Linked DNA regions of Arabidopsis thaliana. The protein of the gene in region 1 interacts with the protein of each later gene in a pairwise test. Each region holds a gene or a part of one and is shown in the gene's direction. Other genes may lie near its edges.

Region 1 (8,881 bases):
TTCATATTGATTGTAAATGTGAGGTGTTCGGTTTTAGGGCAAATGCTTGGAGATACTTGCTCCAAGGCACATAATATTTGACGATCAAACCCCTAGTCATATTCATTTCCTCTGCAATGAGATAAATATTTTCTCTCTTGTATTTGGCTGCAGCCACAAGTAGTTTTGCGTCTCTCTCGAACTCTTTTCAACCCTTCGATTTCACCATGTTTCTGATTTCACAAATGAAATCGATGAGGAAATGAAAAGATATGGGTGGTTTATATAGAACACGTACCGACACAAACAAAATTAACTTCAAGTTTAAGCTCCAACCTTCACTTTTACTAAATTGAAGCTATGATTATACTATAAGTTGTGGTAGTTTTAATTAGTTTTTGGATTTTAAAAGCAAGTTCTATTTCCACGCAATTTCCTAACATTTTACTTTGTCCTCAAAGATAGTTTCTTTTAACCTCAAGTTAACCATTCTATCAAGGAATACCGTGTGATGACAATGCAATAATCACTTAACTCTATGTTGGTGATGTTAGTTGTAATCTCGTAGCTAACGCAATTAATTTTTCATGTTGGCCTAAACTTTTTTTTCTAACGCTAATAAAAATAAAATTCTTTTCATATATTTTCATATTTGCTTTTGATGAATTAATTGTTATTTGATAAATTAATATGAATCAAAAGATTTGTCATATAGACAAAAACAGAATGAAAAACAACTTAAACTCTAAGTTTTGGGTTTGGACTTTGGACTATACTATAAGTTGTGGGGTTTTGAATATTTTTGGATTTTGCAATAAGAAAAGAAATTAAATAAGATGATGAATTGTTTTAGATTGTTACTGAGTTTTTTGTTTTGTTTTTTGTTCTGTCAAATACCAAAGTGATCATGATTGAGAATGGTTAAAATCTTCCAAAAACTATAGCCTCTCAACTTTAGAGGAAAATCACTTTAAAAAAAAAAACTTGAATCGGTAAGAATGAGTTTCTCAAAAACAAAAACCATTACAAAATCTAGCGAACCTTCAACAAACAAGATCATACTCTTCAATTTAAAACTATCTTTCTTATGGAAGAGGTGTTCCTTATTTCCATATCTCATATCTAAAACTAAAACCTTGCTTACTCTGCTGTATAATTTGGAACCCATTAGCAAGCTTTAGAAAACAACGATCTTTAATATTTGCAATCTCTTCAAAGAAAACGAATCTGAAACTTTTTTCTCACTAAGTTTTTCTGGAGAGTAAGAAAAACAAACCCAATTTTCCAATGTAGTAAAAAACGAGAAAATACAGAACAAAACCTCTGTCTCTACAACTAAAACATCTTACAATGAACTCTTTTGCTTTTGATTACCAATTTCTTCCAACCGTTTCCACGTTGCCTCACGTTTTGCGCCAATTTCAGCTTCTTTTGATTCATCTTCTCTAAACTTAGCAAGACAATCCTTAAACAACTCTGCATCAATGTCATTAAAGATCTTCTGCACATTCAACGTCAAGCTATGAACAGCTTGGTTCCAATGCTTCTGAGTGTTTCTCTCCAATGCAGGGAATATGATTGGAAGAATAACTTTCCGGTTCTGCATTATTAGATTCTCGATATGATCGTTGTTCCATAAGAACAAAGCTCTTTCTGCAACCTGCAAAACAAAATAAAAAAAGTCTCAACCTTTTTGTTCTTTCTTGAGCTTGCTTATACAAAGATTCAAGCTTTCGAAATAATCACAAAGCTTTGTTCTTATGGATTCAATCAAAATATCACGCATTTCAATCTTGTAAGAATTGTTCCCATCATTCATGATTCACAGAATTAGCAAACCAAAGGAAAATACAATTACCTGAAAATGGAGACTGTTCAAACACCGAGCAACTTGGCGAAACAATGGGACCATACACCGTTGGAATTCAGGTGGTTGAGTTGCTTCTAATACTTCCTCTAGCTCGTTTAGAAACATGACTTCTTTGGAACTATTTGTGACAGGCCAAGACTTGAGTAGTCCCCTTATAACCGTATCAGCGAGTTTGCAATCTTTTTCCACAAACTGTGTGATACAATAAGACAATTGCTGATGATACATTTGCAAGCTTTTCGGTTTGTGAAGAGGTACCAAAGCTCTAACCAAAAACACTTTATGCTCGTCTTTAAGCGGCAGAGCAAATCCATTGATGATACTTCCCAAAATCTCTAGAAACTCAGCAATCCCATTGTGTTTCTCAGTCTCGAAAACAAACCGATAGAAAATGTTATTAATGGATTTCCTTATGAAAGGACGATGAACCATAAATTTACCGTAGATGCGATGTAGAACGGTCTTAAGACAATCTCTTTCTCTAGGATCCTCTGAATCAAATAAATCAAGTAACCTTGAGACAAAAGATTGGTCAATGTATTTCTTAGCCAGCTTGGTGTCTGTCTCTGGTGAAGCAATAAGCCGCAGGAGAATTTCATAGACAAGCTGCAAGTGAGGCCAAGTAGGATCCATAGAAGGCTCTTCTTCCTCCAAGTCTAACGCATCAATAACTTTATTCTCGCGCGGTTGAGGATTCAAGGTTCTGAATATGTTAACAGAAACCATTCTAACCACTTCTTGAATCACAGTTTCACTAAACTTTCCATTAGGAGAAGCTACATAATCCACAAGCTCAAGCAATGTCTGCCGCTTAATATCCTTTTCCTTAACGTTCTTCGTTGGATCCGAGAAATCGAAAACAACACAGCACAAGCTGAGTTTTCTCACAAACAAGTTCTGTTTCTCTGCATTAGGAACATCTTTGAAACCTGGCAATGCTTCATATGGAGTGAAACCGTTACCATTTCCTTTCAAATTCCCTTCTTTAAACCCTGAATCAGCAGAAGGTTTTACAGGAGGAGCGTTCTGGGTTTGAGAATTACCCGATTTACTGGCGCCATTATCACTACTTTTTGAAGTGGAACTAGATGAAGAAGAATGGTTCTTAGAAGAAGACTTCTTAGGAAGCTTACTCAGAATCTGTTTCCACATAGTGTATTAAACTCAGATTCTTCTTTGTTCATATCCCCAAAACAAACATCTAGAAGAACAATTTCATCAACTCCATCTGAATAACAGAACAAAAAAACAAGAAAAACAGATTAAGAACCTGAAATATTGAAGATATGATACTAAAACACACACAAAGTTAGTTATATCAAGAACCTGAAATGGAGATAAATCCCAAAATTTACCAAATTTATTACAACAAAACCATTTTTTCTTCTTCTTTATTCACTCACGAAACTCAGAAACAGAAAAAAATCACCACTACAAACCATAAAAATCGAAACTTTCGATTCTGATTCTGAAACAAACGCAATCACAAAATCAAAAATCAAGAGAAATCGCACATTACAACACCTCCGATTGCACAAAACAAAGGTCAAAAGTAGGAAAAAAAAAACGATGAATAATGAAATAAAAAAAGCTTACAAAAATTCACATTCAAGTTCTTCTTCCAAAAAAAAACCTCCTTCGATGTTGTTGATTGACTTTGAAATTAAGAATTTGTACCCTTTAGATTTGGCTCAAATCATTGCGAATTGTTGTTATTGTTCTTGATTTTGGTTTTCTTTCTTCTTCTTTGAGATTTGTGACTTCTCGTGATCCAGTTATCTATCATTCTCTCTTCTCCTCCGATGGCTGATCAAACTTTTTTTTCTCAATTCTATTTTAATTTAATTTTAATTGTTTTTTTATTCCCCTTTATTTTAATATTGTTTTTTTTTGTGTGTGTGTTCGGTCTGGCCTGCCAGGTCCACTCCTCCCTCACTTGAATTAGTAATTTTTACAGAATTTTCAAGCTGACAACACTTCAAAATGTTTTAAAATTCCAGATTTTAATTGCCGACCGTAACACTATTATACGACATAGTTTTGAATGTATGTAATAAAATCGGTTATATTGGTTTGGTTTTTCGGTTCAATCTTTCTTGTGTTTAATACAAACTTAATTTCGGTTTATGGTTTTAGTTATTGTTTTGTTCCAAAGAAGAGTGTCTCATTTCTTTTTTGACATTTTCTCCCTTCGAATCTTTGATGCATTTGGTCTTATGGATGCACACAAGATGTAAGTTATATATCAGATGCCAAGGTGATGAAGTTTGATGCATCAAGATACAAACATCACATGCTAATATTTGCAATAACAGATTGACATTACAAAGTTTATATGGCAAAAACATTCAAACCAATTTATATAACCAAAACTTTAAATTTGTAATTATCCTTATCCAAAACCAAATCTCTAGACTAAGATAGAGAAAACCTAACTTAAAGTTAAAACCTTTTTTTTCATTTTGTTCTGAGGGGGCTTTTGTGTTGACGGTGGTGGGAACAAAGGAACATCGTATCCATTCTGTCCGGGAAACACAGCAATGTTCATTTCCGACAAATCTCGTCCTACTGATTTCTACAAAGACGATCATCACAATTCCTCCACCACCAGCACCACACGCGATATGATGATCGATGTACTCACCACTACCAACGAATCAGTAGATCTACAATCTCACCACCACCACAATCACCACAATCATCATCTCCACCAATCTCAGCCACAACAACAGATTCTCCTCGGAGAAAGCAGTGGAGAAGATCACGAAGTTAAAGCACCAAAGAAACGAGCGGAGACATGGGTTCAAGACGAAACTCGTAGCTTAATCATGTTCCGTAGAGGTATGGATGGTTTATTCAATACATCCAAATCTAATAAACATCTCTGGGAACAGATTTCGTCTAAGATGAGAGAAAAAGGGTTTGATCGATCTCCGACTATGTGTACTGATAAATGGAGGAATCTGTTGAAAGAGTTTAAGAAAGCTAAGCATCATGATAGAGGAAATGGATCGGCGAAGATGTCGTATTACAAAGAGATTGAAGATATTCTTAGAGAGAGGAGCAAAAAAGTGACACCACCACAGTATAATAAGAGCCCTAATACACCACCTACATCAGCCAAAGTTGATTCCTTTATGCAATTTACTGATAAAGGTATAAACTTTGGCATCAATTGTAGATTTCTTGATTTGGATTCAGAGAACGTAACTGTGATTATGGTTTTTGTTGCTACTATTTGGGAAAATTCTTATCTGTATCTTAGGCTGAGAAGATACTACATTTTAGAGTAGGTTTCTTATTGTGGTTTTTCAGTTATCTTTAAAGAAGATGATAGTTTTGGTAAATGAATCTGCGTATGTGGATTTTGTGCCTTTAATTTTCTTTTGGCTAAGTGGTAATTTTATCTTTCATTGTAGGTTTTGATGATACGAGCATTTCTTTTGGATCCGTTGAAGGTACTTATCTATCACTATTAGTTTGTTTATTATAGTATCTTGCTATGTATACAAAGAGACGAGCTTTTGTTTGTCTACTGCCTCTTGAAGTTGTCTTTTAAGTTGGTCGAAAACATCTCCCTGAGTGAGCAATAGTAGAGGTATGAACTTGCTTAGTGAAGTGAACATTTGGGACTGAAACAAATAGTAAACATGACTGTGCCGTAGAATTCACAGGCAGTTTCTGTGTTAGATGGTTTAGTTTTGTTTCTAGAGGATGTGTGTGTGTGTGTGTATGTTTGAAAAGTGTATATATATCTATGTTTCAGCTAATGGCAGGCCAGCCTTAAACCTTGAAAGGCGTCTTGATCATGATGGTCATCCTCTTGCAATCACTACAGCAGTTGATGCTGTTGCAGCAAATGGAGTTACTCCTTGGAATTGGAGAGAGACTCCTGGAAACGGCAAGTCCTCAGAAAAAGCTTATATAAACTTAAGCCTCAAAGTTTAATTTTCTATAAGGCTAAAGATATGTTTTTTGAACTGTATGTTTATGTTCCAAGCATGGTGTAATATGTGTAAGAATCCACGTTTTCTCATTTTGAGGTTGCTTCACAGCCTCTGCTCCTCTGCTTGATTTATTCGTTCGGTCTCTTTATAACTGAGTAGAGCTTTTCATTTGTTTCATGTTTATACAAGCAGGTGATGATAGTCATGGTCAGCCTTTTGGTGGTAGGGTCATAACAGTGAAATTTGGTGACTATACAAGAAGAATCGGTGTTGATGGTAGTGCAGAAGCAATCAAAGAGGTAATCAGATCTGCTTTTGGGTTAAGAACTCGAAGGGCTTTTTGGTTAGAAGATGAAGATCAGATTATTCGCTGTCTTGACCGAGACATGCCCTTAGGGAACTATCTACTCCGTCTGGATGATGGTAAGATTAAATTTGCCACTATTCGTATCTTTTGAACTGTGTGTGTGTTTTTTACTGAATTGTCAGTATGCAAAACCCATCTTGCAGGACTGGCCATTAGGGTTTGCCATTATGATGAATCCAACCAATTACCAGTCCATTCAGAAGAGAAAATCTTCTACACTGAAGAAGACTACCGCGAGTTTCTGGCTCGACAGGGATGGTCAAGCCTGCAAGTTGATGGTTTTAGGAACATAGAAAACATGGATGATCTTCAACCTGGTGCTGTGTATCGAGGTGTGAGATGAGGAAATGAGATCACAAAACTTCTTCTCCAATTCTATCAACAGTTATCTGATCAGAAAACAGTCCCCTGTAGATATGATCTCATTCTCTTTATACATTTCTTCTTTTTTTCATGTACTTGCTCAAATATGAAATATCATAACTGGCATTTACCGTACAGACCAAGAAGACCTCAAAATAGATTTTTGGTCTGTTACATTTGTAAGAACAGAACATAAGAGAAGTGAATAAATTGTTCACAATCAGACGAGCGAGTGTTTGTGTGTGGTATCAGAGTCATTCTTCATCCCTTTTATTGTTCTTGTATGAAATGAGTGTGTTCGACCTTGTCAATCTGCAAAGCCAGAGAAACTTTCTGAACTTATACTACTGAGAAAACACTATAATGATTTGATTAACAAACACTAGTATCAAAGAATGTAATTCAACCACTCTCTTGATCCAGGTGAACGGTACAGCCACATCGGTATCAGTAAATGCTCCCAACACAACAAACACACCTTATCCAACCGCCAAGCCGATTAATGTCTCTCTCTCTTACATGTTTCATGGAGACAAGGCAAGCAAGTTATGCTGGAAGCAACTTGTCTCATTATAGCTTGAATCTCCCTCGTGATCTCCTTATTACTTTTCTCCTTTGAGACAGCGTGAAAAGGAGGAAGACAGAATCAAGACAGCATAAACATCACAAACATACAAATGAAACTGAGTTAATTGAAATGTTTATGCATAAATAAACCAACTTCTAGATCTTAAATATCACGTAAGTGGAATAACATTGGTTATAAGCAGATCATCAGGATAAGATTCCAATAGTTAAAGTTTTGCGTCAATAATTGTTTTTGTCGAGAAGGTTTGCATCAATTATTGCATCTTTCTTTCTATCTTTTTTTTTCTTTCTCTTAGAATCGAATTTTAACATATACTTTGATAATGATATATTGTGGTTCTTTTCACTTCACGATTACTTTAGAACATTGTGAATAATGACACTTCAAAATAAAAGGGATAAGATCAGAAATAACATATGAAAATTCCACAAAATCACTACAAATAATTCAGATAATGAAAAAAATACATGTACGTTATGTTATAAAATTCTCAAATATGGTTTTCAGCAAAAATAAATTTGGTTTTTTACTACAAAGTACAAACCAAAGTAAATTGATTTTACAAAGAAAAACGAATTAGAAAATCGTTTTTAAATCATAGAACTTATTCAGTCGAAGAGAATGGCTGACACTTGACGGGTCAGTTATAACTTATAAGTGGACTCTTGGAAATGATCATGAGTTATAGAAAGATCACAAACTTCAATTTATGATATATTGTTGACCTCAGATAATATTTTAGCTATTTATTGGATGTATAAAGATCCATATGAATACCAAAAGAAGGAGTTTTATAACCATTCACCTAACAAAAATGAAATGGAAAAAGAAAAGAGAGCAAATAAGAGGAGGAGAAGAAGAAGACTTTTGGCAAAAGCCAAGAGTCATACCTATTAGTCTATTACATAAGGTGTGATGTTTTTTTTTGCTGTCACATTCCATCTGACCTACCAAAGCTCTCAAAGTGGAGCATCTATTGTGTCTTGGTATAGAGTCACGATTAGATAAATATACAACACCATATGTACTTGTGTCAAATTATAAATATTTGAAACAGTAAGCAACCAGTAATTCGATAAAGACGTCTACAAGCATCTACACATCTAAATTGATTAAAACAAAACACCTTTAAATATAGTGTTTATGAAGTCAAATCTTCACCTTGATTATTCTAAAACAATGGTTGGAGTAATGTTGCTGAATGTTGAGTGAGAATTGACATTTGAGAGTAACTTTCACTATAATGAACTGGATGATAAAGTTGATCCGATAATAATTGAATTTACCATGAATGGTATCACAAGATACATGTATAGAAGACAGTGGTGTTACTTGTTACGCAAAATTAAAAAATGAGCATACTATTGCAGTTACTTTGGATTTATTAAGGAAAATTATGGTTTGACAACAACAATAATACAAAATCTTATGAAAATTAAATAAAAAGAAAAACAAATTTGGCTATTGGCAAAGCTCATTGGCTGTCAAAAGGAATATATACAAAATCTGCTACGTTGCAGTCTTGCGTGCACCGGCCCAGCCCATAGGATTAGAGTATTAAACCTCGAATATTCCATCAGCCTGCGCGTGAATCCAAGCGCCATTAGTTTCCCCAAATCAGTTCTTAATCCTACCCATAAACGATGGGTAAAAATGGTAAATAAGAAAGAAAGTAAAGTACAATATAGTAATATTAATTAGTGAATCTAATCTATTAGCCTTTTTCCCAAGAAAAAATCTCAGCCACTCGATCATATTTTCAATTT
Region 2 (7,942 bases), on another chromosome or scaffold:
CTTCTAGAACCCATAACCCTCCACCTATCACCAGAAATTGCGTCTCTTACCACCGCCTTTTTTGGCAGACCTATCACCTGAAGACCCAAAGGACTCGTGAGATTTAAAAGAGAACCCAAACCAGTCTAATTATCGTACCAGAAACTAGCCGTAATAGCCAAACCCACTTCACACACCAAAAAAAGTCTCGCCAGACTACGAAGCTTACTCAACCGCTTCCAAATCCAACTCCCAGAGTTGTACGGATTCAAATCCAACTACCAGAGCTAAATTCTATTTCGTTATTTTAATATCATTAACACACCTCTATTATGAAACCTCCAAGAATAGAAACCACTAAGTTTAATAATTCAAATATTCTATATAGATATAGCTACTTTACTATGTGGCACATCAACTCCACAACTATTAATTCCGATATCGTATCGCACTCGCATATGTATTGTAATTTTCTATACATAAATAAATGTTATATACATAATTACGTATGTGTGTGTGGACTCTTGGTCTTTGTCTTTCAACTATTTAGAATTCAAATGGCTCGTTTCTGACGTATCAAAATCTGGAATAATGCGACGATAATCTCTACGTACGTGACTCGATTTATTTTAACATACATACTAATCAATCATATTTTATATTAAGAAAAATTAGGCAAGTATCGTGTATATATATATATATAGTATGTGGCTACATACTATTATTGCCCACATACAGTAAAACCTCTATAAATTAATACTCGATAAATTAATAACCTCTATAAATTAATAAATTCTTCCGGTCCCGAGTTGGGACCACTATAAAAATTGATACAAATCGATAAATTAATAAGATAATAATTATTTTGAAAATTTTATGTAAATATATGGTCCCATCAATATTATAAATTAATAATTGTATAAATTTATGAATATATATATATATATATATATTTATATTTATGAATATATATTATGTAAAACTTAGTAAAATATGACTTTAGTATTGTTTTTCTTCAATTTATATTAATTCTTTGTAAAATTCAATTCTAATAATTTTACTACGTATAAAAAAGATTTTTTTTTTAAACCTAATAATGGTTTTATACTTGTAATTGATTTTTAGAAAAATTATTGATTGTAGAGAGGAACTACCTTTTGGATTAAATTTTTGTAAAAAATTACAAATTTTTTAAAATCTCTCCATAAATTAATAATTATTAATTTATCGATAAATTAATACCTCTCTAAATTAATAAATTTTTGTACTATTATTACCTAGAAAGTGAAAATTGACCTACAAATATATCTTCAATTTGATTCACATATACGAAGTCACGTATGTTTCTATAAATTTAGATCCAAAATGTGTGAAAACCCATCTGTTTTTGCAAATTCTTGCAATTGCAATTGCACATGTTTCTATTACGTTTAAATCAATCGAGCTCTAAGTGATTTATCCATAGTGATATACAGATCCAATATCCATGAAACATATTTAATTCATGAAAAGGCTCAAACATTATCAACAAATAAGATATGGTCAACTATGTAGTAACTAGTAACACGTAGGCTGCTGCTCTTTGTGGCAAATTCATGCGCAAGCAAAGCCTCTAGATGTTTGACAAGTTACTACCCTAATATAGCATCACTAGCTATCTTCTAATTTTTTTTTTTAGTTATTTTAATCCTGTATTCTTTTATTTATTTATTTGATAAAGTGATGAAATTTTATTCTCCTTTTTCTTATCAACTAATATACTTATTCATTCACATAATTTCGCACTTTGCGGAGTTTTCATTTGTCGTTAAACCCGACAGATTCTTGAACCGCAAGGAACGAGACATTAACCTAATGTACTTATATTTAACTATAGTATTATAATAGCATAAATGTGACAATGATTCGATCACTACTAATATATTAATCACCAATCTATATCGTCGTCCTTCCTGATTATTTGAAGATTTTGTCTATAAACTAGCTGCTTTTGTTTATGTATTTTTATTACTTGGATGCTTTTGTTTGTTGGAATATTCGAATGAATTTTTGTTTGCCTGAAACTATGCATATATAATAAGGCCATATGCGCCAATAATATAGAATCCAAATATTCATTAACTATAATTAGTTTGTTCTAGAGTTTTAGCTACTCATATATTCAAATTCTTAGGAGATCAAAAAAGTACTTAATTAGTTAATAAAATCCATTTTTATTAGTTGTAATTAAATGTAAAGTGTCGAAACACGAAAGGGAAGATGAGTTGCACAACTCGTGGTTCCTATAAGAGTGATAATCTATCTGACGTCACGCCATGCAAAATGTATCAATCAATTTTCTTCTCACATTTATATTTACTTCAAAATGATTATAAAGCCACCCAATGAATAATAAGATATATATATATATATATATAACTCAAAATCAAAAATTTCAAATGGAATTTGGAAGCATCACAAATTCACAATCATGTATTCAAAATCTCACGTAGAAAAAGCTAATAAGTCCAAAAGATTGGTCTTCATTTTTTTCTTGAGAAAGTTTGATGGGATAGAGAGAGAGACAGAGAGGAACAGCTAAATTTGCTGTGTATGTATTTAATACTTGAACATTTATTTATCTATTTTCTTATACATCAAACTCACGAATTTATAGGTTGGTAATGTCGTTTTTATAACATTAATAAAAATTGCAATTGTAGTTTTTATTGAAATTTACCCAAAAAAAACTATTATACGAAAATATGTTATTTATTTAAAATTTGATATTAGATGAATCCAGAATCTTTTATAAAACTTGGTGTGTGTGAACCTGCGTTAATTTGTTAAATACTTTTCACGTAAAAATCAAAATTAATTTTAAAAGTTATGTTACCAAACAGTATTCTGATAGTTTTACAAATTTTATCCATTGTATATGTTTTGTTTTTGCAAAAAAGTCCAAAGGAAAAAACAAAGCAGAAGGGTTGAATTGTGAGGAAAGAGAGAGTACGTGGCATCATAACTTTGGCGACAGCTAATGTGAAAACAGCCAAAAGCTACGGAGAGCGACACTCCTCGACGACGTCCATGTCTCTTTAGATTGTGATTGCATTGTTAATTATCATATTTATCAATTGATTAGTTAAGTCTTAAGTATCATCACACAAGTTTATACATTAATCTATACAGTGTTTAACACTACAAAACTCCCCAAAATCACGTGTTTCATATCATACGTACATTTGTCTACCGTCTTTATTAACAATATTAAAACAGAATTTATCAATTTTCTAGTTGAATAGACTATATACTATTATAGAGACTCTTATAAATTATGAAACTCCTAATCAATTAAAAATAGTTAATTTGAAACATATCACTCGAAACTAGGGTATTAGTTGGATTGACGATATTTTTCTTATTAATATCAACGAGAAGAATCAAGTGTCGTTAGCTCAATTGGTAAAAAATTTAGGCAAAGCTTAGAGATGTCTATTTGAGTGACGCTTGGAACAAAAATTACATGCTATGGTTTCAGGCCTAGAGAAATGCTTCGATCCAGAATCTCTTGATATTCAAAAAAAAAAAAAAAATCAACAAGAAGAATGTATAAATGGTTTCTATACTATCTAAGTTATGAAAAATATTTTTGGTTACCCAAATTACAAGATTTGTACCGAAGTGTCACACTAGATTCACATGCATGCATAGTTATAATTAACTTAAAACATAAATGACTTACAAAAATACTTACAAACAAAAACCAAATTAAGTTATTTAGTGGCCAGCTTTGTTACTAGAGTTTTAGCCATTATCATAATTCACAATAAGGTGTAGGAAAAAACATTAATATATAGTATGTATACATCCAAAAAAAACTTTTTGGAAAAAACAAATTTTGGGATTATAAAGGACACGTAGCCCAATCGATGAACAGAGGACGGCACCGAATCAATTTGACTTCACCTTTTTTCCCCATATGATAAGAGTCTCATCTCTTTCCTATATATATTTCGTACCTCTCTTTAAGGACCCTACGTCTCTCTCTTTCTCTCTACTCTCTGTTTCCTCATAATTCAATCACTATATTTTTTTAAAAACATTTGACTTCATCGATCGGTTAACAATTAATCAAAAAGATGGGACGATCACCATGTTGTGAGAAGAAGAATGGTCTCAAGAAAGGACCATGGACTCCTGAGGAGGATCAAAAGCTCATTGATTATATCAATATACATGGTTATGGAAATTGGAGAACTCTTCCCAAGAATGCTGGTTAGTATACGTATCTTCATTATTACATTTTAATCATACTTTTTTTATTCGTGAATTGTCTTTTTAAAGTTTTGCTTGAATCTTGACTATAGGGTTACAAAGATGTGGTAAGAGTTGTCGTCTCCGGTGGACCAACTATCTCCGACCAGATATTAAGCGTGGAAGATTCTCTTTTGAAGAAGAAGAAACCATTATTCAACTTCACAGCATCATGGGAAACAAGTGAGTTTGAACTTTTCAATAATTTTATATTTTTGCCATTACGTAGTTTATACGAAAACTACTAATCTTGTAGATTAGTCTTAGAGTCATAGCTTTGAATGATGTTACTAGTGATTTATGTTAAATCTACAATGCATCAGATTCTAACTTTGTTTGCTTTCGTATAGGTGGTCTGCGATTGCGGCTCGTTTGCCTGGAAGAACAGACAACGAGATCAAAAACTATTGGAACACTCACATCAGAAAAAGACTTCTAAAGATGGGAATCGACCCGGTTACACACACTCCACGTCTTGATCTTCTCGATATCTCCTCCATTCTCAGCTCATCTATCTACAACTCTTCGCATCATCATCATCATCATCATCAACAACATATGAACATGTCGAGGCTCATGATGAGTGATGGTAATCATCAACCATTGGTTAACCCCGAGATACTCAAACTCGCAACCTCTCTCTTTTCAAACCAAAACCACCCCAACAACACACACGAGAACAACACGGTTAACCAAACCGAAGTAAACCAATACCAAACCGGTTACAACATGCCTGGTAATGAAGAATTACAATCTTGGTTCCCTATCATGGATCAATTCACGAATTTCCAAGACCTCATGCCAATGAAGACGACGGTCCAAAATTCATTGTCATACGATGATGATTGTTCGAAGTCCAATTTTGTATTAGAACCTTATTACTCCGACTTTGCTTCAGTCTTGACCACACCTTCTTCAAGCCCGACTCCGTTAAACTCAAGTTCCTCAACTTACATCAATAGTAGCACTTGCAGCACCGAGGATGAAAAAGAGAGTTATTACAGTGATAATATCACTAATTATTCGTTTGATGTTAATGGTTTTCTCCAATTCCAATAAACAAAACGCCATTGGAATAGAGTTATGTAAACATGCAATCATTGTATTTGTTATATAGATTTTGTTACATATCCAAAATCCAAAATACTATAGTTTTAAAATATTTATTACTAAAGTATATTCGTCAAGGGGAAAGCAACATCCCACCAGTAAACAATATAAAGCTCAGCTCATAACATTGTTTTAATGATGGAGTTTCTATTATTGGTATCTATCTACTCTTTTGTTTAATATTTGTGGTCGGCTTTTCTTCTACATAAATGCATGGAGATCGTATCAACGATCATATTAAAATATGATTCGAAGATATATACTATAATTGATATCATACATGGTGCTGAAATGTTATCGAAATAGAAAGGTAGATAAATAATTGATAGTGAATAATTATATCATTGACTTATTATCTCTTGTTTCTCTGAAGAAATAAACTAATGATAATTTATGAACCAAAACAATACTAATAACAAATGTTTTGAAATGGAAGTGGGCCATTAAGTCAATCAAAAATTTGCACAATTTCACTAGAACCAATCAAAATGCACGAAAAACTTTCTATTTTGACCACCAGAGAAGTCTTACGAATTTACTAACCGGAATCCGGCGAGACTGGCCGGAGCGTGAACTAGAAGTACACGTGGTATGGTAGCGTACGTGTGCAATTGGGGTCAGATCACGGGACACAATCTAATGACCAGACGCCACTTGTACGACACGAAAGCAATAAGTGGAAAACGTAAGGAAAAAGTTGAAAGAAAAAGCTCGTTTTAATTGAAATCACGGTTTGTGTTAATTAATCACCTTTAACACGTGTTGTACGGAGAGCCAACTGAGAGTGGGGACGCGTGGGGACAAAGCAGCATGTGTAAACACGAACGTCGGCATTTTTTGGGATGAGCTGTTTGTTTTGACCCCTTGTTCGGTTTTTCCAGTGGATCTTTTATTACGTATAGAGTCAACATTTTTTATAAGAATAAATTATTGTGGTAATTAAATAAACCTTGTTTTTTTCATTAAATAAAAACTTGTTTAGTAAGAGAAATTTCATATTATTTTCTTTGGTTTTAATGCTAAGAGTCTTAACGAAATTAAACAATTACATATCTTGCCAATTTTGAATGCTTAATTTGCAACTAGAATAAATTGTATATATCTAGTTTTACTTTTTTTTTTCTTTACTTTTTTTTGGTAAAATATATAGTTTTATTTTTGAATTGACGGAAACGTAAGTGGGTTAGTTGAGTTGTTTCTTTTTTATATATACGTAATTAGATATAAACGTGCGGTATACCGTAGATACTCTTATATTTTAGTTAAACTAAAATTTTTTATTGTAAAAGTGATTTATAAATATATAATATTATTTTATGGATTTTAAATGTATAGTAAACTGCTAGTTGTATATTTTTGTTGATATTATTTATATTGTTCAGTATTTAAGATTATACACTTGTATTTAATTGTTAATTTTAGAGTTTCACCTATAATTACCATCTTGTATTAATATTGATTTAAACCCGTCAATTCTAAGATTTTCAAGCTTGTATTAAAAATTGAATCACATCATACACATAAAAAAATCTAATATGTTATTAATTATTATAGTATATAAGATTATAAATTTTCAAAATAATATGTATGAAATTGAATATAAATATTTAAATTATAACCCGTTACTTAGTAGAAAGTTTTCTAAAATCTATTTTTGACCTGTTATAATATTTTTTCATGTATTGAACAGTTTATATTCGTTTTTAAAAATATAAATCATGGCACATGCGAAAAGCTAATTATTCTTTTATAACAATAATATTATTTTTTCGCAAAAATAGAATCATATAAAGATGAGAGATGAACTATAATAATTAATAAAAAATTAATATGATAATTTAGATATCAAATCTAATTTGTTGATTTTAATTAGTTATTTTTTTTGGAAATTAATAATGTATTTCGTTTGTCTAATTAAATTAAATTAATTAAAATTTGGATATCAAATCTTATATGTTGATTTTGATTGGTTACTTTTTTAGAAATTAAAAATGTATTTTGTTTTTTAATTAAATTTAATTAATTAAATTAGTATTTGACTTTTTAATATTTAAAAAGATGAATTATTTTACTCTTTGAAATTTTATTTTTAATTGCATACCTATGTAATTACTTACAAAAAATATGGTTATTTTATTATGTATTTCCCAATAATAGTATAGGATTATGTTAGCATATATTTACAATGTTACCACATTTGATTTTATTTTTAATATCTTTTGTTAGCAATTTTTACTGAATGTTGAAACTTGTCAAATGTCACTATTCATCACGATTTTCAGTTTGAGCGAGATTTTTATCGATTTTTTTGGAAACTTTAAAACACTGTCGTCATAGTATACTTTTTTCTAAACATCAAATTTCCAGGACTATAATAAGAGACTATAATAAAAGCTTATAACAATAAATTATTAGCAAGTTTTAACAAGAAAAATTAAAATCTTTCATATGTTTTAGGCACCCTTAAAAATAATTTCCTTAATTGTTATTGGCCAACTTTTAATATTATACAGTATAACCTCTATAAATTAATACTCTATAAATTAATAACTTCTAT
Region 3 (7,692 bases), on another chromosome or scaffold:
TTTCAGAAGTGGTTTGTCTCTTACCTGAAGAAATTTTGACAGCAAGTATCCATCATAAGTCAGCTCGTCGAGAATGATCTCCATTGCAGGGGTCCTGCATCAAATTGGATCACAAACATGGAGAAAACACAATTCAAAAGTGAGGCAGAAACTCATTACCTTACGCCATCTCCTCTAGAGGTAATCCCTTCTAAGTCAGCTTTCTTCTTTGATGTATCAAGCTCCATGATCTAAACAAGGAACAGAAACGTAAGAGCAAAAAGCTCCGAAAATTGAAACACTAATACTCTGGTAACCGAAAACTTACCATTACTAGAAGTTCTTTCATAGCAGTAAGCATGTCCTTGTGCAATTCTACCAAACTGATAGACTTTTCATCAGCATCAATGGATGCACACATTGTTGATAGATAATCTTTCATTAGAAGTTTGAAATTCACTTTTCTTGAAGCCTACAAGCAGAACCATAACATTAAAAATCACAAATAAATTACTATACTAGTTTCTGAGCCATTGATTGTGGGATGTACCAGAAGTAGATTCAGAAAAGATTCCTTTAAGAGACTCCAGTTCATAGTTTCTGGAGCACAAAAGGACACAAAAAGTTCTAAGAATTTCCCCAAACTTAACAAGATAAAGAGAAATCTTAAAACTATGAAGACATAATCTATACCTTCATACACTTGATTTCGGGGTGTGAAATCTAGCTTAAGAACATGAGCAAGATACTTGAACAGAAACATATTTCCAAGGATCTGCAGAAATCCAAACAAAAGAATCAAATAACAACAAGTTGTGTGAAAGTCTACCAATTTTTAAAGCTTATCTGCAACATAACAAATAAATCAACCTTTAAATCTGATTCCTCAGACTCATTAACTCTTTTGTTCATGTTCTGAATCAGCTGTTGCAAAACTGAAATCATAAAACAAACAAAAAATCATATTTAGCAAGAACCAACAAAAAGCTAACTCAAAAAGAGAAGACAAACGTCCTTACATAAGCTTCTCACTGATAAATCCTTTTCATCAGAATCAACATCAGACCCGAAATTAAACGGTGACCAAGCCTGCAAAACAAAACCATAAACAAACACATGAAATCAACCATCCCCACCATAACAAAGAATGAACAAAAACACATCAAAACTTTTGTAACAAGTACCTCGTCAACGATGTCCAACTGATCAGCTGAATCAGATACATAAACCCAAGGAAACCGCTGAAACAAAACATAATCATAATAAGCAAAACACTGAAACCTCATAAAAGTTATTGGACAAATTACACTACCAAAATCTTGCAACAAGTACCTGATGTAATTGAGTCAAAAGCTGGAAACTTGCTGTGATAAGTTCCAATGTTTTACCAAATCTCAATATCCTGAAAATCGCTTGGTACATTTTGCTTCAAAATTAAACAAAACCCAAATCAAAATCAGTACTCTTTTAGAGGTAAAAACTTCAAATTTCTTAGAAAAACAGAGTTTTTTATTTTTTACTTGGTTGGAGGAATTCCATTTTCGGGTACAAGTGAAGCAGCACGAACAGCTTCCAGATACTGCAAACCTAAGGTTTTTCATTCAAAGGATCAATACAATTAACAAAAACAAAGACGAAGATTGAAAATTGAGGAAACGTACGATCTTCGTTAGCGTCGCGACTGTCTTTAGCTCCGGTGGAATCAATCATAGCCAAGGTGTTAGCTTCCAAGCTACCGCCATAGCCACTCATCACTCTGCTTGTATTGTTATTACCCTTCGTCTCTTTCGACATCTTCTCTTTCACAATTTCACTAATTTCTTCTCAGCAGCACCAAAGAAGAAAACGAGAAGGAGAGATTGAAATCTTAATCCGAAATTAGAACGGAGAAAGATTTGTAGAAACCCTAATTCTCGACAGAAGTCAATTTTCCCGCCATAAGAGAATTGTTAGCAAAAAATAAATCACTTACTGGAATTTGAACCCGGCCCTCGAAGGTTAGAAGTTTGAACTTAGAACCAATAGAGACAATATTAGTTGGTTATAATAATTCATAAAAATATATATAATTTTTTTTTTGTAGTAAGTCTTCTTTTTCTTTAATACCGAGTGGTTCTGAATCAAAACTCAGAATACTTTCAGGCCCGAAATCATAACAGGTAATGTTAGTTCCGTTCCAAGCATCAATTAAAATCTTTTCTATATTGTAGTTTTTTTTTTAATCAATTTTGAAAATGCTTTTTGTGATTTGGATTCAGATTAAGTTTAGACTTGTGATTACAGAATTGGAAATTTTATACACATGACTTGTAGTGTGTTTATGAAGCTCGCTAGACTTATGAAGCTCTCGAGATTGAATACCAAAATTTAACAAATGACTACCTTAAGATAGAACCATTGCAACAATCTTTAATGCTCGAACAAAACACCTTTCTAATCGAAACGCTCTAGCACGCTTGGAGTCTCTCCAACACGAGACTTTCTTGAACTATATATGTGCCAAAGCAAGAAACTCTCGTAGTGGAGAACGAATGAATGAATCTTAAACGATTGATATAAAAATTAGCAGATAGTTTTTTAATATTAGCTGATACGTACTTGAGGTGACTTGAACCTACCATATAAAGTATCTCTAGCTCATTCTCTATAATACATTGAATAGAGATATTAATCTCTTTTTCATTTTTTTTCAATTGTAAGCTATGTTTCAAAGCGTGTGGAATTTATATATTCTATTCACCTCTCATCATTGTTTCAAATCTTTGGACTTACGGAAAATGATCTCATACAAATAATACTTGGATAAAAAGTTAGTGATGACTTAGCCCTTACATGTTTTTTCTTATTTCGTTTCACATTTTGATAGCGTTTAGTTATCATTATATTATATTCTCTAGGCAATATGCGTTAAACTGTGATCGTATGGTAAAATAATAACTTCTAACAAACTTAACTAAACACCGAAGAATTCTTTATCGATGTATGAAAAGCTAAATCAGTATTAAGGTTCATCAATCTAACAGTAGAAACAAGTCATTTAGAAGCTATATTTCTTTTTATAACCAAAAAAATAGTTAAAAAGTTTTTTAAAATGCGACGAGCGTGGAACGAAACATTAAAACAATAAACTTATGTTTGATTTAATAATCACAATTCTCCAAAACGGATTTGTGCCTCTGGTGGGAACACGTCATAGATTCTCATGAAGCGTTAAACTGAAGATTAATATGTTTATTATACAAAAGTGAATTAATACTCTGCATCTAGTCCTTTTCAAGAGTACACAATCTGCACTTTTTTAATGAAAATAGTACACAATCTTTATACTTCAAACTGAGGTAACATTATTAAATTAATTTATTGAAGTTGACTTAAGATGATCTATTCACATAATGGTACGTGTGTGTGTGTATACACAGAAAACCCCTGATTTTATGTGGAACCTAAAACCCTCCATGAAATGCGGTCAGTACCTTAGAACACAAGTTTCACCAACTGTACTTCCCAATTATCCTGCCGCAGATTTCCCATTCAACGTACACACAAAACCCCCAAAGCAACAATCTCTTTAAAATGCCCTAAATCTCACCAACACATACTCCTCTCTGATTCAACAATGGCTTTTGGCAATATCCAAGAACTAGACGGCGAGATCCTAAAGAACGTTTGGGCGAATTACATCGGAACACCACAAACCGATACAAGATCAATTCAAGTTCCAGAAGTTTCTAGAACTTGGGAAGCGTTGCCTACCCTTGATGACATACCAGAAGGTTCTAGAGAAATGCTTCAAAGCCTAGATATGTCGACGGAGGACCAGGAATGGACAGAGATTCTCGATGCTATTGCTTCTTTCCCAAACAAAACCAATCATGATCCATTAACCAACCCTACCATTGATTCATGTTCTTTGTCTTCTCGGGTTTCTTGCAAAACAAGAAAATACAGGGGAGTACGGAAGCGTCCGTGGGGGAAATTTGCAGCCGAAATCAGGGATTCGACGAGAAACGGTGTTAGGGTTTGGCTCGGAACGTTCCAAACTGCAGAGGAAGCAGCTATGGCTTACGATAAAGCCGCGGTTAGAATTAGAGGTACTCAAAAAGCTCACACAAATTTTCAGCTCGAAACAGTTATAAAAGCTATGGAAATGGATTGCAACCCAAACTACTACCGGATGAACAACTCAAATACGTCCGATCCATTAAGAAGCAGCCGCAAAATCGGATTGAGAACAGGAAAAGAGGCGGTTAAGGCTTATGATGAAGTCGTTGATGGGATGGTTGAAAACCATTGTGCCCTTAGCTATTGTTCAACTAAGGAGCACTCGGAGACTCGTGGTTTGCGTGGGAGTGAAGAAACTTGGTTCGATTTAAGAAAGAGACGAAGGAGTAATGAAGATTCTATGTGTCAAGAAGTTGAAATGCAGAAGACGGTTACTGGAGAAGAGACAGTATGTGATGTGTTTGGTTTGTTTGAGTTTGAGGATTTGGGAAGTGATTATTTGGAGACGTTATTATCTTCTTTTTGACAGAAATACATTGAAAACTACCGTTGCTAATTTGATAGGTATACATATATAGACATGTATATATTGTATAATTATATGTCAAGATTATTTATTTATTTTACATTTTTCACAAAAAAAAACGTTAATCTATTTTTCTGTCACAAGTGTGTTTTTATTCATACTACATACTACAACGCCAATTTAACATGCCAAATATAAAACATACATGGGCAAAGGCCCAACAGCCAGTTTAAAGAACTTTGTCTGAAGAGAAAGTTGTTGTATATATCACAAGGGATATGTGGTAATTGGGAAACATGTTGGGTTGACACGTGGGAAATTGAAGGAGATGGAGTTTCCGTCACTGGTAGAATCTTCTAACACTAGAGAGCTTCAATTCAGGTTGAAATCGTCAGAAAACTAATGCAGACGGTAGATCTCAATCTTCGCCCAAAAAAACTATTTAGCTTGATGAGAATAATTTCACTTAATTTAAATTTGTAATTTTTTTTCATTTTCTTTTTCAATAGACAACTTTTCAATTTTCAAGTTGCAGTTCATCAAACCGGAACAAAAGTTAGCCTATAATCGCCAAAGAGATAAACGGCGATACAATTAGAAATAAAGCCAGCCATCGACGCTATAGAGTTTTGGGATCAAGGTTAAGCTACTTTATCCACCTTGATCTCATTCAATCTCTAAAAGCTAAATGAGTTTCGATTTAGGAATTTTGTCTATTTTCAATCGATAAAACGACATCGTAGTGTACAGTAAACTAATATCGTTTAGACATAACAGAGAAAACTAACAAAAAATTAACACCGTAATTTTTTTTTGTGAATCTACTTATCATCATATCTAAATAGTAAAATGTTTACATTTAGTCATTTAACGCCACCATTGAGACCGCCGCTTGTTAACCCATTTCTAATCTTATACATGACATATAATTGTACTAACTAACCTCAAATGGTATTAATAAACAGTTTTTGGTTCATTTCAGTTATATCAGTATATGACAAACTCTTAGTGAGATATAAATCTACACATAAAACACATGAGTATTGTTTTGTCATTGTCCAAACATTTTTGATTCACAATACGACGATTTATAAATTATTAAAGTTTCCCTCCAAATTATTTTGAAGGCATTTTTAATCCATATATTTGAAACTATTAATAAACGTGTTCAAAATAAAGGATAAGGTGATAAGTAACAAATAATCCTCCTCCAATAAGCGTAATAAGTAGGGACATCAAGGGTAAATATGGAAGAAAGAAAAAAAATGCACATGTGTTTTTTTTTAATCGGAATCTCCTAAAACCCTATATATCGGCGGTACAGTTACGCAAAGCTTCCAGTGACTCACTCACATCGTGCTTTGATTCTGGAATCTAGGTTTAAAGTTTAGACCTTTGAGATCACACTATATCAAAAATGGAGCTCAATTTCTCTTCAATGGCTATAACACACCCCAAAATCCCTTCTTTCGGTTTTACACCCACCGGAATATTCCTAAACCCATCAAAATCAGTGTGTTTGGCTTCACATCATCGGCTTCCGAGAGTTTCATGCTCTGTTTCTACTACTACTGATTCTCCCAAGCTAGTGACTTCAACAAAGGTAAGTTTTTTATTTGTGGGTTTTGCTGAAATGATGTGTTGTTTGGATGTTTTCGATAAGAATTGGCGATAAATTGATATGCTTTAGGTGACGGCAATGGATGGAGTGAGCTCTAGAGACTTGGAGATGTCGAATTTAACGGCGTTATCGCCTTTGGATGGACGTTATTGGAGTAAAGTTAAGGACTTGGCTTCTTCTTTGAGCGAGTTTGGATTGATCTATTTCCGAGTTTTTGTCGAGGTAAGTGAAGGGTTATGATCTGATTGGTTGATTGATTGAGAAGATTGTACTAGTTATGTCATGCTATATCTCTTTGTACGAGTAGTTTAGTTGTCTGGTCTAGTGTACTCATTTGCCTAAACTTTGATATTTTTATATATTTGTTAGATCAAATGGCTTCTTAAGCTTTCGAATATTCCTGAAGTCACTGAAGTTCCAAGCTTTAGCAAAGAAGCTCAGAGTTTCTTGCAAGGCATAATCGATGGATTTAGCATAGACGATGCATTGGAAATTAAGAAGATTGAGAGAGTAACAAATCATGATGTGAAAGCAGTGGAGTATTTCTTGAAACAAAAGTGTGAATCACAACCAGAGATTGCTAAGGTTTAGGTTCTTTTCTCTCACTTATAAGTTCTTAGGGTTTGGATGCTTTGATGCCCTGTAACTAAAATTTTGGATGTCTTTTTACTGAGTTAGGTTCTTGAGTTTTTCCATTTCGCTTGCACGTCTGAGGACATCAACAATCTTTCCCATGCTTTGATGCTTCAAGAAGCACTTAGTTCGGTTATACTTCCTACCATGGATGAGCTGATCAAGTCAATCTCTCTGATAGCTAAGAACTTTGCTTATGTCCCCATGCTTTCACGAACTCATGGGCAGGTAATGTCCAAAGAGAAGACCTTCACCATTTTACCTTTCCCTATTTATCTGTATCTATCTCTTTACTAATGATTTTGTTTACTATGAATTGTAATGCAGCCAGCTACGCCAACAACTTTGGGGAAAGAAATGGCGAATTTTGCTGTGAGGTTAAGCGAAGAAAGGAGATATCTTTCAGAAACTAAGATTAAGGGGAAATTTGCAGGTGCTGTTGGGAACTACAACGCCCATATTTCCGCATATTCGAATATTGACTGGCCTCATGTTTCCGAGGAGTTTGTTACTTCTCTTGGATTAACATTCAACCCATACGTGACTCAGGTAATATAGTTTATATTGATCAAACAATCCTATTCAAATTCATAAAGATCATCGCTGATTGATTGTTCTGTGTGTATTTTTTTTGCAGATTGAACCTCATGACTATATGGCTAGACTTTTTAATAATATCAGCCAGTTCAACACTATTTTAATTGATTTTGACAGAGATATATGGAGCTACATATCTCTAGGGTACTTTAAGCAGGCAAGTGTTAATATAAGAAAGGAAAAAAAAAGATGTCAAATCATTTGAATCTGAATGGGAAAATCGTCTCATTGTTTGAGATTTTGCAGACAACTAAAGCGGGTGAAATTGGATCGTCGACAATGCCTCACAAAGTGAATCCTATTGACTTTGAGAACAGCGAAGGGAATCTAGGGA
Region 4 (8,196 bases), on another chromosome or scaffold:
CTGATCAAACTAGTGTTGACTCAGTTGAGCTTAACAAGCCGGTAAGAGATGTGGGTGGGGTTTTCTTTTCTTTTCTTAAAGTTTTGCTGTTTGGAGTTTGGCTCACCAAGTTTCATTTTCTTGTTCAGAGAAAGTCCAAGGCTGTGGCTCCTCCTGTAGAGGAACCAAAATTTAGCTGTCCAATCTGTCTGTGTCCATTTACTCAGGAGGTTTCAACGAAATGTGGTCATATTTTCTGCAAAAAGTGCATAAAGAATGCGTTATCCCTCCAAGCTAAATGCCCGACATGTAGGAAAAAAATCACTGTTAAGGACCTTATCCGGGTCTTCCTTCCAACCACCAGATGAATGATACAGAAACATCACTAGTAGCCATGTAAGTCTAGCTAATGAGATTTGTTTTTTTCTGCTGAATTCTAAAAATTGCGCCGTTCAGATCCTTTTCTTTCTCTTCTCTTGCAGGGATAGTGGTCTAGCGATTCTACCTCCAACGATGAAGAAATGTTGTTCATTAGTTGTAGTTTGTTATGTCAATATTGTTCTGTTTTGTAAGAGAAATATCTAGGAATTATGGAAGACCTGATTTTCTAATGGATATCGTTCATTGGTGATCTTCATTATTTGAGTAGTTCCTTATTGCTTAGTGATTGTTGAGATATTTTAGGAGATATTGTTGAATCTTAAGAAAAAGCATTCTACATCATAACTCATAAGCCTCTGTATGCATGTTCTCTCTCAAGTTCACTAGAAGGCAGTAATGGCATCTGCACATTTTTCTGTTGGTCCACAGTTACCTCTTATGAAAAGATTATTCTTTTGGTATCATTCCCATGAAATCATTGCTGTGCAGATCAAAGAACACATCCAACAGTCATGGCCCAATCTATGTTCTGATAGCAAAAACGAAAATACTTTTTTACTTCCAGGAACTCAAAATCAATGATTGCTTTAAGGGCTTAAACCCGATCGATTCAAGATTCTATGTTTCCTATTTGTTGTTTTCTTCAATATGTCTGCACAAGAGTTAAAATAAAATTGGTTATACAAGAATGAGAGATATCGAAATCTAAACAAAGATGTCTCTCTTTCTATGAAGGTGGCTCTTTCTCCGGTCTGTATCGACCTTAGAACGCCCATCTTGGTGAAGAACTAACAGCTCTAGGTCTAGGTACCGGTTTGATAATCTGTTGCTCTGAACTATTAATCCTTTTCTTCATGATAGATGAGACCGTTGGGCTGTAATAGTCATTACTCCTCTGTGACATTGCTCCTTGTGAATGCATCTTCTTCCCATGGACGAAGCTTCTCTGTTTCTCCAGCATTTCTCTTCTACCATTCAAACTCTTCTGAGGAGTTCCCCATCTGCTGGAGCTCACACAGCTTTGACTCCTTCCAACTCTCTCATGATGAAACTCGCTTTTTCTTGGAGGAGTTGGGTAGTTTCGGCTTTCTGCTGTTTCTGCAGAATACATTGTCTCTTCCTCGCTGCTGTATCCATGATTGTTATATACATAGTGAGCTGCTGCTGGCGGTGAACTTGAGATGACCTCACTGAGAGCACCATTTACTGAACCTGTCGAAGCAATCTGCGCATCTGATCCTTCAGAGACAATCTCAGCCTCTTCCACTATATGGTTACTCTGTAGAGAGTTGAGCTCAGGATGAAAGGTTATAGCTTTAGGTATCCGTGGAGGAAAGTTGATGTCCAAAAGGTGTACTTGAGCTGTCTCATTTCTTAGAGGACCAGAAGTCAACTTTGGCGATTCATATATCTCAGGGGTAGGGATACCCTGCGCATGAGTAGTAGTTCCGCAGACTTGTGGATTGGTTTTTGAGGTTTCTTCTTCTTTTTCTTCCTCAGCAGCGATAGAAGAGCTCGGATGAGTTTGATCTCTAGTGTTAGATGAAGATGGTGTTCCAACATCAGCAGAGTCGTTTGGCTTGAAAACACGGCGCATGGTGAATGAAGTACAAGAACGCTCACTCTTCTGACCAGAAGACATTAATCGAATGAGAGGCAACTTAGGTTTCGTCGTATGTTCATCCAAACTACCTTCCCAATGCTGATTCAGCCAGTCACATATTACTGGTATTGGTATACCAAACTGCATCATCAGTGTCTTGTTGTTATCTTTCTTCAAAGAAGAAGAGGAAGATGACGAGGTTGAGGTTGGTGATGTCGATAGTTTCCTCGGATCACAAATCATGAATGCAAGATTCCCTTGAACATCAAATCCAGCAGATCCAGGACTCCAAATCATTTCATCAGTTGAGAGTTTGATGAGATTGTCGGTAGCTACAACTAACTTTCCCTCGCCGATCTTGAGTTCATTCTGATTGGCATAGCCTAAGAGGTACACCACACTCCCTAGATCCAGGTTTGGTTTGGAACATGTCTTCAGGTAATGTGGTTGTTGTTGAAGTTGGCTCTGGGAACTTGAGTCTCCATCAACAAGGTCTAAGCCAACAATAGTGAGATCAATAACTGAACTCGTAATGAAAAACCTGCAAATGACACCATATAAAGATAACACTCATTTTCTGATAGCTAAAGAACAGAAAACACCATCATTGACCAAACAAATCCACAATTCAGATTGGTTCTTATTATGTTTGATGCAATCAAGACGTTTCCATTTTGGGAAATATCTGAACAAATGAATTTTCATGTTCCAATAATCACAAAATGATATATCAATGTTTTGGTTTAAAGTTTATGAAATTAAAATGAAAACTTACCAAATTCAGCTACAGATCCAGAATCATTACCATATAACATAAGTACAGTATAAAGCTCTTTTCTTTTAAGTTCTTTTGGTTTGACGAAAAGATATGGATTCATTTTTGAAAATTTGAACAAGAGCCAATTTTTTTGATGGCATTGCATCAAAATTTACCAGGATCGTGCAACCGACAACACAGGAAAATGAAAAATCAAATTTTGAATCAAACTCAAGAGAGAGTAAAGAGAGAGGTGGGACCTGTGAGGGAAGAGAGCAGCAGCGACACCGTTCTGAAGGCGGACCTCGGCGGTTTCGGTGGCGGAGATGGAAGGAAGATTGAGGTGAGTGGTCAGAAGAAGATTCCGGTGAATGAGGAATCCAGTTCCAGAAGTAACACCATTTGGTCCGGAGACAGAGATTCGAGCCATCGCCGGAGCTTTGCCGGTAAAAATGGAACCTTTCATCTTCTCGCTTTTGCCAACTCCTTTACAAAAGCACCATGAGTCCAATATCACTCCCATTGTCTCTCTATCTCTTGATTATGCTCTCAGATGGGTTTTGTGTCAAATTCCCTAATTTGGCAATCTGGGTTTTGGAGGAGAGTGTTTTGGATCTGAAAAGGATGGGAATTTAGGAGAGAAGTGTGAATTGGATGCGAGTTAGTAATAATGGGATTAGGGAGACACAACACATGTATGTGTCTGTGTCTGTTTGTGCTGTAAAAACATCAACTTTCTCCGGATTTGGTCTCGATGAAGACCCAAGAATGGGAGAAAACTCGAGAAGAGGTAAGTGAGAGAGAAACAAGAGACAGGGGAATCGTGAAATGAGTAAAGAGATGTGCTTCTTTAAGGAGCTAGCTGGGGACTTCTTCTTCTTCTTTTATCACTTTTATTTTTTTCTTTAATTCAAAAGAAAATGTATAAAGATTGGGGGAAATGTTTTCTTTATTTGGTTTAAGTGTGTCATTTTGTAAGAAGAAGCAAACAGAGGAAAAGTCTAGAGTGACAGAGAGGATCTTTGTACATGTGATGAACATGGATGGACTTTTTGCTTATTATGATTAGTGTTTTTTGCTTAACGTTTTCTTTGCTTGTCGATTTGTCTAATCATGGTTTCATTAACTTATATCTCTCTTTGTTATCAAATAGATTTGGTCATTTAACCAAATTGTAATGTATATGATTACCAGTTTTAACCATCTCGGCAAAAATGTAAAATTAAAACGACATTTCCATTTCAGAAATCTAGCTTATAATAAACTTGGAATAGTTACATGTTGTTAGATTGGTTCAGTTATGGTTGCAAGTCAATTTATTATCACTTATCAGCATTCAAGTCCAACTTTTTACTTCAAAACAAACAAAACTAGAAAATCCAATTCAATCAATTTTATTGGAGCATTTAAGTTAATCTCAAGTAGTTTAAACTTGAAAGAGTTGGATTCACAACTTATTGTATACACGAGAAAAAATGTAACAAACGATATTCCAAAAAAAAAAGTCAATTAAAGTGAACTTATCAGAATAACATTGTTCTTCATCATGTTTAAAACCCCAAAACAAAATCCAATTGCAAACACCGGTTTCTCAATGTACATCTCTCAAAAAAACATAGTAAACGACTGTACATAATGAAAATGGGAACTCTTTCTATGAACCATCGAAGACTCCAAGTATTCTATTACACTGGTTAGGGAGTTGAAAAGAAGTAAACCATAATGTGTCAAATCCGATCCAACATCAATTCCGTTAGCGCTTAAGAAGTCTTTTTGCATCTGCAATATCCTGCAATATAACAATAGCACCAAAACAAACTAGTACATAATCAACATTAACAACAGCTAGGAGCAAAAGCACTAGTCAAGAACTTAATTTAACCTTAATTAACAATTCGAGTTAACAAAGAAAGAAAAGAGTACTGAAAGTACCCGCTGCAGAAAAACTGCTTCTTTAGGAGAGGTAGGGAACTGCACTAAACCGATTCCAACAATTAATAGCAAAGGACACTACAACGTATATAGGTAGCTGGTGCAAAGATATACATTATTAATATTGACTAACTGAGAATAGCAATAAGCAAAAATGAGCACAACAGACTCATTACTAACCAACTATGTTTGGCTACGAGCCATAATTGCAGCCTGCAAGAGAGCAAACTAAAAGGCAGAGACAGCTACCAGCAGGCTCAAAATCTTGACCACATGCTTCATTGTCCTTGAAACAAAGTTTATGTAAGATTTGAGTATTGACAATATACCAGAAAAGAGGACTACACTAATGCATTTTCCGATTTCTTGCATATTTGGAGCTGACCATGAACGGGTGCCATTAAAGGATATCTATAGAAGTGAATTCCTTCAAATAACAAATTGCCAATTCTAAATCCATTACGCATAATTTCCACACATCTTAAGCAACTTATGTCCAGACCAGAATCTAGCATAGTCATGATAACTAAAAGAACAGTAAAATGCAACCCAAACCATCAAAATGGGAAAGGAAAAAAAAACGACTTTTCACATTTTCTTGGATCTCATAATACAAGCGGTCAGGAGCTCAAAGCCCTTTAAGCATAATTTGTAGAACCTGAATCTTAAAAAAAAAAAGAAACACAAATACATGATTTCCCACCGTTCCTCAGGATTTTAAACATTCTATAGTCAGATCCTCAGGAAATCAAAGCCATTACACAACACATTTCAGAACATTATAGGCTAAATGATTTGAAAACTTGAATCCTAAAATTCATTAAGCTGCCCCAAAACCAAGCTTCTACTAACAAAACAAACTACAATTAACCATCCGAATCAAACCATGCACCCAAAACTCGAATTGAAATTTGATATATCTAACAATGATTGAGCTGCCATCAGAATGAATTATTAGAAAATAATTTTGTCACGGTTCCTTCAGACCAGAGTAAACTCCAATCATCCGAAACTCAAAACCCTTGCGCAAAATTTTCAATCATCATTTGGCAACTTATTCAATCAAACCAACAACGAAAATAAACAAAAGGTTACATAAAACTAACCAAGCCTATGTTCTAAAGCAAACGAAATCAAAAAATTCAAACAATCAATAAGATGCTCCACTATTTGCGGGAGAGATGGAACCTTTAAGCTCACAGATCTCGCCGCCATTCTCAATGTTTCTTCGGCTGTTTTAAATAGTTGTGTCATTAGGGTTTTTATTCAGGTCTTAAAATCATGGGTATAATCGTCAATTTCACAAAATAAGCCTTTGTCCTGGATAAGCTAAACCAGTTTCCAAACAAATCTTGCTTCGATTCACAAATTATTACGATTGCAATCCCTAATTTGGAAGTCCCGGTTCCTCTTTCGATCAAATCGGAGAATTTCACGGCATGGCTACGGCTGTTGGTGGCGGAAGCGATGTGGAGGTTGGATTTGCGAAGCTTCAAGGTGAGGATTTCGAGTACTATATGCAGTCTTACTCCATTATACTCGGCCGGAATTCTAAGAAAGCCACCGTCGACGTTGATCTCTCATCCCTCGGCGGTGGGATGAACATCTCGCGCAACCACGCTCGGATCTTCTATGACTTCACTAGACGACGCTTCTCTCTCGAGGTCCTTGGCAAAAATGGCTGCCTCGTTGAAGGTGTTCTTCATCTCCCTGGGAATCCTAACGTCAAGCTCGATTCACAAGACCTTTTGCAGATCGGAGACAAAGAGTTCTACTTTCTCCTACCGGTTCGGAGCATCTTAGGCGGGCCGTTGGGACCTAGGCACCACGTCTCTGGGCAAACAAGTGTTGTTCCATACCATAATTATCAGTCGGGTCCAGGTTCTGGGTCGGGTAAGAAGGGCGTCAGGAGTAGAGAGTTGTATGAGTACGATGATGAAGATGATGATGACGACGACGATGAGGAGGACGATATGAGAGGAAGTGGAAAGAAAACAAGGAGAGATGGACATGAAGTAGTATATGCTTCCGGAGGTAAAACCAGATTGCTCATGATTGTTTGAGTTTTCATTGTGCAACTAGATATGTTTCAGATTATGATGCTTACTTGATCACATCAGGCTTGTTTCTTTAGACTTTGATTGTGGTGGTTGCTGATTGAACCTTGTTAGACTTGGATTGAATTTGAATGCTAGTGACACCACGACATTGTATCTGCTTCATTTGTGCAGAGAAGAAGAGAGAGGGAAGATCAAAGGTAGATCGTGAAGCTGATGATCAACAATTTTTGCAGCTGGAGGAAAAAGATGTTGTATCGTCTGTTGCCACTGTGCTTTCCGATTTGTGTGGTCCGGGAGAGTGGATGCCTATGGAAAAACTTCATTCGGTGGTTAGTTTTTATGAGAAAGTTCCTTGCCTTTTTCTAATACAGAATGTAGTACGAGTAATCAATTGAAACAAGACTTGTATAATGTCAAGGTGATAATTAGTGTGAAGCTAGGTCCTTAATTAGTTTTCCAATGGAAACGCGCTACGCTACTTATATGTGTCTAAGTCTAGAAAGTATGTCAGTTACTCCATAGATTTTGAATGACTAGTGTAGTCTGACTATGAACTTCTTTGTGATTCAATATGATGGCTAATGCATGGTAGTGGTTGGTCTGTGACAGATATTAAAGGAGTATGGAAACGTATGGCATCACAGTCGAGTAAGAAGATACCTATCACAAGAAGACTGGGCTATCCCTGAAGCAAAAGGTAAACCATGGTACGGTTTGCTGATGCTGCTGAGAAAATACCCGGAGCATTTCGTCATCAACACGAGATCAAAGGGAAGAGTTACCCTTGAATTCGTTTCCCTCGTTACCCTACTCTCATGAGAACTTTACCTTAGTGACTCGGATTAAGATTTAAGAAGCTTTTCTCTCTTTTCTTTGTTTCATATGTAAAATATTTTGGCATTGATTAGTAACACGCTGTGTCGTTTTTCTGCACCCAAAAACGCCAACTTCTTGGTCCTTGCAGTTGAGAGATTTTGATTTTCTTTTTCTTGATTCTTATTTTTGATAAACCCATCGAGATTTTTCTTTCATCAAAGGGCAAAAAATTCGTGCCAATTCAGAAATCGTTATGTTCGGTGGATTTGGGCCATAAAAAGAGAAAAGGCCGAAACAGAGAATGATCCAAAGTGGCTCAAGTACGTATCCAGACAATATAAAAAGGTTGGAATGTGCAAACTTAGGGTTATACTCGTATCTTGTAGCAGCCACTAAAGCAAAATTCTGAGATCGAAAAAGCTATATAAAAAAAAAAAACTGCTTCCGTTTCATCGATTTTGTCCAGATCTTCCCCTTCTTCCGGTAATCGAAGCTTACGAGATAGTTGAGTGAAGATGATCTATGATGTGAACTCTGGTCTATTCAGATCCTTCCTGAGCCAGAAGGGTAGCTCGTCCGACAAAAGGTACAAAATCTTGTCTTGTCTGATCCAAATATGAGATTATCTCGATGTTGTTCCCAGATCTATCTATTGATGTGTCATTCTT

The links.
Region 2: the proteins of GT-1 (region 1) and MYB74 interact in a two-hybrid assay, tested with the Arabidopsis thaliana proteins (one large-scale study listed by BioGRID).
Region 3: the proteins of GT-1 (region 1) and AT4G18450 interact in a two-hybrid assay, tested with the Arabidopsis thaliana proteins (one large-scale study listed by BioGRID).
Region 4: the proteins of GT-1 (region 1) and FHA2 interact in a two-hybrid assay, tested with the Arabidopsis thaliana proteins (one large-scale study listed by BioGRID).

Annotation. Positions count from the first base shown.
Region 1 is NC_003070.9:4,610,624-4,619,504, reverse strand, and holds GT-1 (Homeodomain-like superfamily protein), read left to right. Parts: upstream 1-4,245; 5' UTR 4,246-4,389; coding exon 4,390-5,005; intron 5,006-5,268; coding exon 5,269-5,307; coding exon of another isoform or gene 5,308-5,342; intron 5,343-5,615; coding exon 5,616-5,750; coding exon of another isoform or gene 5,751-5,797; exon of another isoform or gene 5,798-5,988; coding exon 5,989-6,219; intron 6,220-6,306; coding exon 6,307-6,506; 3' UTR 6,507-6,774; downstream 6,775-8,881. Other genes in the region: AT1G13460 (Protein phosphatase 2A regulatory B subunit family protein), read right to left, coding at 1,325-1,639, 1,838-3,001.
Region 2 is NC_003075.7:2,614,457-2,622,398, forward strand, and holds MYB74 (myb domain protein 74), read left to right. Parts: upstream 1-3,915; 5' UTR 3,916-4,100; coding exon 4,101-4,236; intron 4,237-4,328; coding exon 4,329-4,458; intron 4,459-4,625; coding exon 4,626-5,334; 3' UTR 5,335-5,491; downstream 5,492-7,942. Other genes in the region: AT4G05097 (uncharacterized protein), read left to right, coding at 1-107. UniProt on the Arabidopsis thaliana protein: Probable transcription factor that may function in salt stress response.
Region 3 is NC_003075.7:10,187,065-10,194,756, reverse strand, and holds AT4G18450 (Integrase-type DNA-binding superfamily protein), read left to right. Parts: upstream 1-3,504; 5' UTR 3,505-3,595; coding exon 3,596-4,507; 3' UTR 4,508-4,526; downstream 4,527-7,692. Other genes in the region: SNI1 (negative regulator of systemic acquired resistance (SNI1)), read right to left, coding at 25-94, 160-230, 308-451, 530-579, 673-754, 850-914, 999-1,068, 1,164-1,220 and 3 more; AT4G18440 (L-Aspartase-like family protein), read left to right, coding at 5,925-6,110, 6,198-6,350, 6,498-6,713, 6,807-6,989, 7,089-7,310, 7,399-7,515, 7,605-7,692.
Region 4 is NC_003074.8:2,291,877-2,300,072, forward strand, and holds FHA2 (SMAD/FHA domain-containing protein), read left to right. Parts: upstream 1-6,009; 5' UTR 6,010-6,091; coding exon 6,092-6,686; intron 6,687-6,883; coding exon 6,884-7,041; intron 7,042-7,321; coding exon 7,322-7,531; 3' UTR 7,532-7,696; downstream 7,697-8,196. Other genes in the region: AT3G07200 (RING/U-box superfamily protein), read left to right, coding at 1-41, 129-347; AT3G07210 (uncharacterized protein), read right to left, coding at 1,124-2,504, 2,981-3,243; AT3G07230 (wound-responsive protein-like protein), read left to right, coding at 8,044-8,114. UniProt on the Arabidopsis thaliana protein: May play a role in the control of plant organ development and specifically in the regulation of stamen development. Does not show transactivation activity in yeast.